3 linked regions of the Kluyveromyces lactis genome follow. The protein of the gene in region 2 interacts with the protein of the main gene of each other region in a biochemical or structural test. Links are inferred from orthologs where the notes say so. Each region holds a gene or a part of one and is shown on either strand. Other genes may lie near its edges.

The links.
Region 1: of the proteins of SMC3 (region 2) and ECO1, one has a biochemical effect on the other in vitro, tested with the Saccharomyces cerevisiae proteins (3 studies listed by BioGRID). The link is inferred for Kluyveromyces lactis from reciprocal best matches to the Saccharomyces cerevisiae genes SMC3 and ECO1.
Region 3: of the proteins of SMC3 (region 2) and HOS1, one has a biochemical effect on the other in vitro, tested with the Saccharomyces cerevisiae proteins (2 studies listed by BioGRID, with this or other methods). The link is inferred for Kluyveromyces lactis from reciprocal best matches to the Saccharomyces cerevisiae genes SMC3 and HOS1.

Annotation. Positions count from the first base shown.
Region 1 is NC_006038.1:585,987-588,946, forward strand, and holds ECO1 (Eco1p), read right to left. Parts: upstream 1,421-2,960; coding exon 605-1,420; downstream 1-604. Other genes in the region: phosphoprotein phosphatase CDC14, read left to right, coding at 1-429; putative uridine kinase DAS2, read left to right, coding at 2,835-2,960. UniProt on the Saccharomyces cerevisiae protein: Required for establishment of sister chromatid cohesion during S phase but not for its further maintenance during G2 or M phases or for loading the cohesin complex onto DNA.
Region 2 is NC_006037.1:22,858-27,199, forward strand, and holds the start of SMC3 (cohesin subunit SMC3), read right to left. Parts: upstream 2,842-4,342; coding exon 1-2,841. Other genes in the region: KLLA0_A00352g (pyridoxal 5'-phosphate synthase subunit PdxT), read right to left, coding at 3,725-4,342. UniProt on the Saccharomyces cerevisiae protein: Involved in chromosome cohesion during cell cycle and in DNA repair. Central component of cohesin complex. The cohesin complex is required for the cohesion of sister chromatids after DNA replication.
Region 3 is NC_006038.1:821,350-824,590, reverse strand, and holds HOS1 (histone deacetylase), read right to left. Parts: upstream 1,963-3,241; coding exon 637-1,962; downstream 1-636. Other genes in the region: ALG1 (chitobiosyldiphosphodolichol beta-1,4 mannosyltransferase), read left to right, coding at 1-646; SPE3 (spermidine synthase), read right to left, coding at 2,322-3,203. UniProt on the Saccharomyces cerevisiae protein: Responsible for the deacetylation of lysine residues on the N-terminal part of the core histones (H2A, H2B, H3 and H4). Histone deacetylation plays an important role in transcriptional regulation, cell cycle progression and developmental events.

The sequences.
Region 1 (2,960 bases), on a different chromosome or scaffold from region 2:
TATAAGCAGCAAAAGAGAAAGAAGAAAGTAAATTACGAAGCAGAATATACCCAAGATGATCATACAATGACTCCTCCGTCTGTATCAAAGAAAACAATAGGCTTTCAAAAGAACTCGCATACCGCAGTACCTCAACAATCTCCTGGTCAACCAAGAAAGGGACATGGAGGCAACACAATCGAAGACATCAACAAGAAGGAAAACCAGGTTGCCGCCAAGATTACCGATAATAACAGTGACATAGATGATTCCATGAATACTGATAATAGCATGAAAACGTCTCCAAATGACACAAGACAAGTTAACAACTCGTCTATAGAAGACACAGACGCATTGAGACAAATTCTGCCTAAAAACAGACGTCTGGCGTCATCAAACGGAAAAAGAACCACCAGTGGGGTCAGAAAGATATCGTCGAGTAAGAGATAGAGATTGACCGTTGTACGAATATTTTGCCTGTGTTGGTTACAGTTTTGCAAGTAGAAACCAAATCAGCTTTCATATCAATTTCACATAATTACACGCTTTGGTTGCAACCGTCTATGCAGTTGGATGCTTCTCTTTTATTCGTTTCGTTATTCATCTACTTGCATACTAATATGTATCATATGTAACACGGTATTAAAAGTTTTCCTGAGCGATGTTTTGCAGCATTATAGCTTTTAGCCAATATGCTACCGCTTTGGCTTGGTTGTGACCATGCCAGTTCCCATTTATTGACAATACATCCGTATATTGATTTCTTCCTTGCGACCTCTAGTAGTCTTGTAGCAATGCCATGTTGCCTTTGATTTCTACATACCCATATTCTCGATATTCCCAGTTTGACGTCCGGTACTACATTCGGTACTATGGCTTTGGTGTCCAATACCATCCATTTACCTCGGTTGGTATTCTCGATGTACTCGATTGTAATAACTCCAACAGCTCTATTCTTCTTTACGTAGATAAACGCTTTACCTTGTGATTTGCCGGACTTATCCACCTCAGACCAAAAAGCATTCTCATCATGAGGTGCATTTAATTCTTCATTTACAATTGACATCAAGTCGAGTGCAGCCTTCACTTCGTTAGCTTTCTTTGGAGAAATCATGACAATGTACTCATCTTCTTCATATAAGGTTTGGGACGGGAGTTGAAAGGACATCACTTTTTTATCCTTTTCAGACACCATTGAATATTTCAGTTGTTTCTCTGTTTTAAGAGCCTCTACTCTATTAATGATGTCGCCCCAACTCTGAGACCACCTTTTCCCATTTAAATGTAAGTCATGATATCTTTTGTGCTGCACCAGATCACTAGGAGAATTAGTGCTATAAGTTATCGAACACTTCGGACATTTTACCAGAGTTGGGGTCGATTTAAACTGTAACGTGGCTTGAATAGACTTTTTAGTCTTTGGTGACCGATATTTGGACATGTACGGTTGATTGGAGAGCTTTGATTGGTGGCAATTTACTGACGCGTTTTTACTTTTGATAATTACACGTTAGAAAGTGTAGATCGATTTATATTTCAGGTTGAAACAAGGGTATTGTTCATGAGAGAAAACTGGTAAGAACGGTAAGCAAAGAGATGCTGCATTTACCATATATGCCTCTGTGTATCCAGTTTATGCAATAGGGAACCAATTACGAGAAAATCGTGTATTCTTCCTTAGAGCTAATGGAGTTTGTCACATGGTTACCATGTTGTGGTATGTGACTATACATGTCACGTGGCTTTGATCTTATCAGATCTTTATTAGAAGAATCCATCTTGATTAGCTATATATCTCCTAGAATAATTAGATGCACCTGGTGTCTGTAGATCTGATTCCTACTAATTAGTAGATTAGATCTGAGTACTGGTTTATATACTTTGTTATGTGTCAGTGACACAAAACCATTATTAACCGCCTATTATATTTGTATTACCCGGTCATGCGTTATGACTAGTTCCAACAGTCTGTATACTAGTTCTACATTCTTATAACATGTCGTAAGATAGACTTAAGACAAGCCAGACGAGAGGTCATGTGAGCTAGCCAGCACACGGCAGAGTTCCAAGACGTCAGTGACTGGGCATATGGATCCTGTGGTATCCAGAGGGATGACCTAGATGGATCATAGACGGTCACGTGATGGTCTTGAGTGCGCGTGGAGGACGGTAGCTGCACAAAACCTACAAGGGCATGGAGGCAATGAGTTGCCATGACGAAGTCTGACGACCATCCGAGTATATAAGTCGAGTATAAAAGGCTGAGCTATGTTGCGACCTCTTGGGGAGGTTGGATGCAACAAGAGAAAGAAGAGCAAGGACGCATATACTCAACGATCTAGCTAAATAGATTATATTATATTCGTTATATTGTTTGATATCAACGATCCCTCATCAGGCGATTAATCAATCAACTATCATCCAAACCATATCACAACATAACATATTAATTGGGCGTGTGGCGTAGTTGGTAGCGCGCTCCCTTAGCATGGGAGAGGTCTTCGGTTCGACTCCGGACTCGTCCATAATTTTTTGACTTTTTGAAAAGCCATTTCAGCATTAATTTCTCAGTACATAAAATTACTATGTGTATGCCAAGAGTCCCAGCTCCTTTTATGAGAGATCGTATTTTTTGATTAGACCATTGCTGCGTTACAGTTTTCAACCCTCAATATTTATTATCACGACTATTCAAGCAGTAATCGCCTAATCATTGTTCATTCGGGATATTGATGAATTAAGTCATAAAAGAAAAATATGCACTTTTAGACGACCAGGGAGACAACTGTTGAATACAAACACGGCGAACAGCAGGTCTTTCAAATACTGTTTTGATCATTAGTTAAGGCAAAGTAATGTTGCATCGTATAGTTATCAACATTGCTGGCGGTCATTATGCTGGTGCTTTGCAAACCACCAAAGAAATCGAATCCAAACTACTGGGAATATTCAAGCATGATGTTAGAGTAATTGATCTCGAT
Region 2 (4,342 bases):
TTGTTGCAATTCCTCCTTTCTTGAGTTCAGAGTTGACTTTTTCAATAAAACTTTTTCTGCATTCTTCTGAAAGTTCGTAATCCTTTTGACTAGTGATCGTTGTTGTGAGTTGGCTTTATCTAAATCCTTTTGAAGGGTTGCTTTCTCTCCTCTAAGGGATTTGATACTGCTGTCTAGTACTGATAATTCAGATTCTACTTGTTCTTTTGTCCTTGTCACAGTTTGTTTCTCCATCAGAACAAGTTCCATTTGGTTGTTGATCTGACTGATTTGTAAACTGTGTGAAGAAGAGGGCTTTCGCTCCAGCTCATGTAACTTAGGAAGTAGCTTTGAATTTAATTCAGCGTTGAGCTCGTCTAACTTAGAAGAAAGTTCATTCAAAGTTGACAAATTGAAATTCAAAGACGTTTCTTTCGTTTGAATGCTATTGGATATAGCAAGTAACTCGGCTTTTTCATCTGCATCTAGTTCATTAACAAATGGTTTAGATATATCCGCAGCAAAGGCATTTGTACGTTCTCTACATTGTTCAAGCTCCGTATCGATTTTGTTTAGTCTCGCCTTCAAAGCTTTTATAGAGTCATCAATCGTAATTTTCTGAGACAGCTTTGCTTTCAACTGACTCCTAGCCTTTTCTATGCCTGCTTCATACGCATCTCTCTCTGCTGCAGCATCCTTAACAACATTGTTTAGGCCATCAATTTCCTGTTCGATACTCTGGAGCGCCTGTTTAATCTCTTGAAGCTCTACTTGAATTTTTTTATATTCTCTTTTCGATTGTTTGAAGTCTCGTAAAGTATCCAGTCTATTACTCTTGTACTGATCCAAGTAACCACCAGATAAAACACCTTTACTGTCTGCACGATCACCGTCTAAAGTTATAGCATTTAGTTTGTATTCTTTGGCAAGGGAAGCACCATCAATCAAGGATTTAACGACAAGAGTTCGGCCAAAAACCTGCTTGATCACTTTCTCAAATTTCACGTCATACTTGATCTTTTTGATTAGAGGTGTACATTGATTTTTCTCCAAGTTATTTGGATACGTAAAGTTGGTATCCACATGCAACTTATTGAGAGGAATAAATGTTACCCTTCCACCTTTCGTTGCAAACAATTCCTTAATTAATAAACTTGCGGTCTCTTCATTGTCAACAACAACATTGAAAAGGGAGTTGCCTCCCACGACTTCTGCACATATTTTGTATTTATCGCTTACCTTTATCAACTCGCCTACAGGGCCAAAAACATGCTCATGTAAATTTAACCTATTAACAATGTCATTGACATTTTGTAGACCAAGTGCTAAAGAACGATCAATTGTTTCATTCATATCTGACTCAAACCTTTTGACATCATTATCGAGAGAGGTGGAAATTGTTTGTAGTCTTTGTTCAGTTCTCCATAGCTGTTTTCTTTGATCGATTTTCGTCAAATATTCCTTCTTGGCTTGTGTTACTTTATTTTGCAAGTCTTCCTGCTGAGCAACAGATCCCATTCCATTTACTGAATCGGCTAGGTCTTCAATTTCAGCATTTAAATTCTCTAAATCATGCTGTAGTGTACTAAGTTGGCTAGTCAGTTGATCTTTTAATATATTAGATTTATTCAGCGACTGGTTTAATAAGTTAATTTGTTCTTGGATCCAGTCATTTCTTTCGTTTACCGTACGAAAATCTTCATACTTCCCTTTTTTTGATAATAATTCTCTTTGCCTCTTTGTGAGTTTCTCGATTTCTACTTTTAAGATTTCTGCTTCATTTGATAGTTTTTGGAATTTTGGTTGTACCTCGGCAATTGACGAGCAGTTAATCTCAATTTGTTTCTTTACTTCTCCGATTTCTTTGACATTTGATTCCAAATGCGCTTGTGAAGCATCCAATTGCATTTGAATATCGTTTAACCTAGTGTCTAAATCCGCCAATTCCCCAGCAACTTCTAGCTTCGATGCCTTTAACTGTGGTAGATCAGTAGACTGTTTTATTTTAATCTCACTTTCTAAAGAATTCATTCTCTTGTTGAGCTCTACTGCAAGCACTTCTCTTTTTTCCAATTCGTTAACATACTCAGAAGAATTTTCAATAATTGAATTGTACTCACCTTCAAGTTGTTCAATTTGGTTCGTAATATCGTTCAATTCCCTATCGTATAAGCAAAACTGTAAAACTTTTCGATCTCTATTTAGATTGTTGTACTTTTCCAATTCTTCCTTTTCATCGGACAATTCGCTCAACCGTTTGTCAAGTTCGTTTAATTCATTAGTGATTTTCGTTCTATCTCTCTCTGCTGCCTCCATCTTTTTCAAAGACTCTTTCAGTTTGTTTTCGAATGATTTTGCACCTACAACGTCCTCTAATAGATGCAGCCGTTCTAAATCTTTCGCGTTGGTCAAGGATATTATTCGCCCTTGCGGAACAATGTTGTAAGGATTCGAAGTTGAAAATCCTACATTTTCTAAAACTCTTCTAACGTCTTGTCTTGTTGAGTTCTTGTCATTAATCATGTATTCATCCTTCTTCAATCCCACTGTCCTTCTAATTCTGACCTCTCCAGTATCGTTTCTTAACGGTGCAAGCATTAAGTTCTCAGGATCATCAAAGATAATTTCAACGAATGCACTCATTACTTGCCCTGCACCTTGGTAGATAAAACCCTTCCTATCTTCACGTTTTAAGTTTGAATTCTCTTCGCTTAAGACGAACCTAATAGCTGCAAAGAAGTTCGACTTACCAGAACCGTTGGAACCGACAACAACATTGTGATGGGGTGAAAAATTCTCCACCACGGTCCGATTCTTGTAAGTCTTGAAGCCACTGATTATAACAGTTTTGATGTGAACCATTTCAACAGTGTTGTAGTCTGTCTTCTTGCCCTTGTAATTACTCTTATTCCTAGAGCTTTCTGATACAGGACGCGTAAACTTAACTTGTTTTGTATAATTTTGTATGTGTTTATGATATTCATTTTTTTTTATTAAAGAAGGACGCGTTTCATAGACAGTGTATAACATAAACAAATTTCAACTCGTTACCCTAACATGCTAACTTAAATGCAACGGTAAGCTTCCTTCTTCGAAATGTTCAAAGTATTTAAATGGATCCAATGTACGCTCGTCTTTACTAAGGCTTGATACGAAGTTAGCTGCTTTCCGATGTAAGTGTTTAAATGGATCATAAACTATGATCGGGTAACTACCAATGTAATAGGCGGTTAAGTATCAAGATGATACATAACGGGTGTTTCGGAATGAAATATCATTAACTAATCTGAATTATTATATAAGGAGGCATTAGATCTGGACAAGGACCATCAATACAGTCATGCCAGATCCCCAGGTGCATCAACATACACTACTGGATATATAGCTAATAAACGCTATGGATTCATCAGATACCAAAGATCTTAATTTAACAGCACGTGACTGGAAATACCAGCCACATCAACAATAAGGTATATTGAGAATCTGCTCCAACACTGAACAGGCATTGGACACTGTAGTCTAGTGGTTTAGGATACTCCCCTTCCATAACAATGATCTTCAGGATCATAGGCGAGGGAGTGACACGGGTTCGAATCCCGTCAGTGTCAATTTTTTCTTTTTTTCTTAAACGCATTTATTATTGAATAATTAATGACGCAAAGGGGCGAATTGGATAAAAGAATTTCGTTCTGAATTCAGCGTTTATTCAGACTTAATACATACAAACGATAGATATTTATTTGCATCAATTGTTTAGAACAAATTTCTGAATAAAATAGTTGTGGAATCTGGCATCATTATCGGACAATTCTGGATGGAAAGACGTTCCTAGAATGCGTCCTTGTTGACTGACTGCCACTATTGATCCATCTTTTAAAGTGTACAATGTCTCTACATCATCCTGAGATAATATCTCTTCTATAATTGGGGCTCTAATGAAGTAGACTTGGAAACCTGTGCAATCAGGAATAAATGAAGAAAAGTCACATGTTTCGATGAACGATTCAGCCTGACGACCAAACGCATTTCTTCTCACCTTTACCTTTAACAGGTCGAGCGAATTTACCAAGCTCGACTCATTGCTGAGTTGTTTAGCTAAAAAAATCAATCCAGCACAGGTCCCCCACACCGTTTTAGTGGGGTCGTGAACGAATTCAATCAAGGAATCAAAAAGTCCTGTTCTTTTCGCAATTAGCGAGATTGTCGTAGATTCACCACCAGGTATAATTAAAGAATCACAGGAGGAAAGCTGTGGAGCAGTCTTAACTGTTATTACTTCTATATCATGTTTATTATCTTCAATGGCTTTATTCAAAAGGGCAATGTGTTCTGCAAACGCTCCTTGTAGAGCTAATACGCCAAT
Region 3 (3,241 bases), on a different chromosome or scaffold from region 2:
GTTGAAAGAAGCTGATGACCGTGAAGCTTTGTTGAAACAAGAATTCATCGCCAAATATATACCGAAAGAATTTGATATTTCAAAGGATAAGATATTTGTCACTTCTACCTCTTTCACACCGGACGAAGATATCTCAGTATTAATCGGATCCTTCAAGATATATGAAAATTCATTCCAAAAGTTTGATCAGACTTTGCCTCGAATCTTGTGTTTCATCACTGGGAAGGGCCCATTGCAAGAAAAGATTGTAAAACAGGTACAGGATTTCAAATGGGACCGCGTCCAGGTCGAATTCTTATGGCTATCATCAGAAGATTATCCTAAGCTATTAAGGTTGTGTGACTATGGGGTATCGTTACATACTTCAAGCTCGGGGCTTGATTTACCTATGAAAATCCTTGATATGTTCGGTTCTGGGTTACCTGTCATCTGTATGAATTATCCCGTATTGGACGAACTTGTTCAACAGAATGTTAATGGGTTGAAATTTGCAGATAGACGTGAGTTGCATGAAGCTCTTATATTTTCGGTGAAAGATGAACAGGTTCATCAGGAGATCAAAAGAGGTGCCCTTAGAGAAAGCAAAAATAGATGGAATGAAAGTTGGGAATCCGCGTTGTCTGAATTGAAGATTATTCATAAGTGATAAAATTGCTTCAGCTCTTCAATGTGGAGTTTCTTATTGTCATTTTGCAGACTCGTTTTTTGTTCTCCGTCATTGTCGTAGGACCAATATCTATAATTCTCATCCTTGTATAGCTCAATGAATTCATGATCTCGTAATAAAACTTCACTATCGTCTTCTGGAATAGAAGAAGAAATATTGTTTCCGTAAAGTTCTAAGACTTTGGATGTTAGATATGTGTAAAACCTTGAAACAAGCAATTCGTTGTACCCTCCACCACCCAGGAGAAATACTTGTTTGTCCCTGAACATATCCATGATCGAAATTATGGCGTGCGTCAGTCCACGGATTGAAAGCTGCCATTCGTTGTATTTATCACCACTTAACCCATCTGATCCACATTGGATAACTATACACTCAGCATTAAATGTCTCAATCAATGGAGTGATGACACTTGAAATTAGCTCGAGCAAATACTTATCATCCATGCCGTGCAATACCGGTAAATTGACCATCTGTTTAGAGTTTCTAGTTTCTTCCAAAGAACCGGTTCCAGGGAAAAATCCCGGTTCATATAAATGAACAGAAATAGTTTGTACGTTCTCAGAGAATCTGAATGCTTTTGCGACACCATCACCATAATGAAGATCAAAATCAATGTATGTTACTCTCTTCCAACCTTTACGTCTTAGACTTTGAATTAACAATACGATGTCATTTACGTAGCAGAATCCACTAGCATAATGTTTGAGCGCATGGTGCCTTCCACCATCCCAATTAATCGCAATTGATGGTGTCTGATGGTCGATATGTTGTAATAAAGAGAGGGTTCCACCCACTATTACTTGAAGATACATTGAAAGAAACGGAAATTTAGGACAATCATGTTGTAATCCGTACTTAGTAAAATCCTTATCGTCTAACTTCGAAACATCGTCGATTTCACTATTAGCGTTGTTGAATTCTTCTTTGAAATACCGGAACAGCTCATATTCATTATCGAACCACAAGACCTGGTTGTCATCCTCAACATCCGAGTCTTGGTAAAATTTCCTTGCAACTTCAGCCAGTCGAAGTACTTGGTCTTCTTTCTCAATATATTCAGTGGAATTGTAAGTAAATTCTTCTGTCAATAGATGCTTCACGTAATCTAATGTGTGGAACTTCGTCATATCTTTTATTGTTGCAACCGTAGCATCATTGACATGATCAAAATAATCTAGTAAACCATACGCACGAATCAATGCAAAAATCAATTGAGCTTTTTTGCCGTTATTGCAAGGCAGAATATCGGCAATTTGACATTGTAATGAAGATGTACTGATGATAAACTTCATCCGTATTTGCCTTTTCTTATCAATTGAGTTTATTCGAGTTCAAAGCATTGGTGTTTTTAAGGTAAGAGATTCATTCGATATGTCTTAATGCAAAGAGAAGAAGAATCAAAAATGTCCGAAAAGGAAGAAAAAGGATTGAGATTTATATAGATAATAAGGCGGTATCTATGGCTACACTAGTACTTATTAATATGTTGTGTCAAACGAACATTGATCCTAATAGTAGACTGAAGAATTAATTAGTCTAGCCTAAATCTATGAGTGATAACGTTAATAGTTGATAAGTCAGGAATAAAATAGAAATAGCGATCTACAAGACCGCATAAAGAAAAAAGAGGGATTATCAATTCGTTAAGTTGTCACAGGTCCAATTCTTTAGCGACCCAAGTAGGTAGTACGAAAGAGGCTTCGTGCACTTTCTTGTTGTAGTAACGGTACTTGGCTTCTTCTTCTTCTTCTGAGATTGATCTCAACGGTTTAGTGACATCCACATTGGCATCCTTAGAGCACACCATAAAACCAATTTGACCGGTTGGATAAGTTGGAATGGTGGTGTAGGCATAACCAACAGTTGGGAAGACCTCCTTACAAGCCTTCTTCAATTCCTTGATGATTGGCAAGTGGATCCACATACTTTCAGCTTGAGTGGAAATGACACCTTTCTCAGTCAAGGCACCGTTCAACAATTCGAAGTAAGATTGTTGGAACAAAGAGGCGGCTGGACCTTCCGGGTCAGATGAGTCAGTGATGATAACGTCAAAAGTGTTTTGGTAGTCTCTCAAGAATTGGAATCCATCACCGATATGAGTCTTGACCTTAGGATGGGAATAAGACTTCGCCATCTCTGGTAAGTACTCCTTGGAAACTCTGATAACAGCTTCGTCAATGTCACATAACCAAGCTTCTTGGACGGAATCATGCTTGACAATTTCTCTCAAGACACCGCCATCGCCACCACCGATAACCAAAACCTTCTTTGGGTTTGGGTGAGAGTTTAATGCCAAATGGGCAATCATCTCCTGGTATGAGAACTCATCACGCTCGGTGACTTGAATAGCGTTATCCAAAACCAAAACGTTACCATAATCAGTAGACTTGAAAACCAAAACGTCTTGGTACTTAGATTTTTCATGGTGTAAGATCTTTTCCACACGCAAAGTCATGGCTTGACCTGGCCACATGGTATCAGAGATTTCTCTGAACCATCCGTCAACAATCGTAGGATGTGTTAATTCTGACATGATTTCTACTTGCTTCTTTTCGACTCCACTAAAGATTT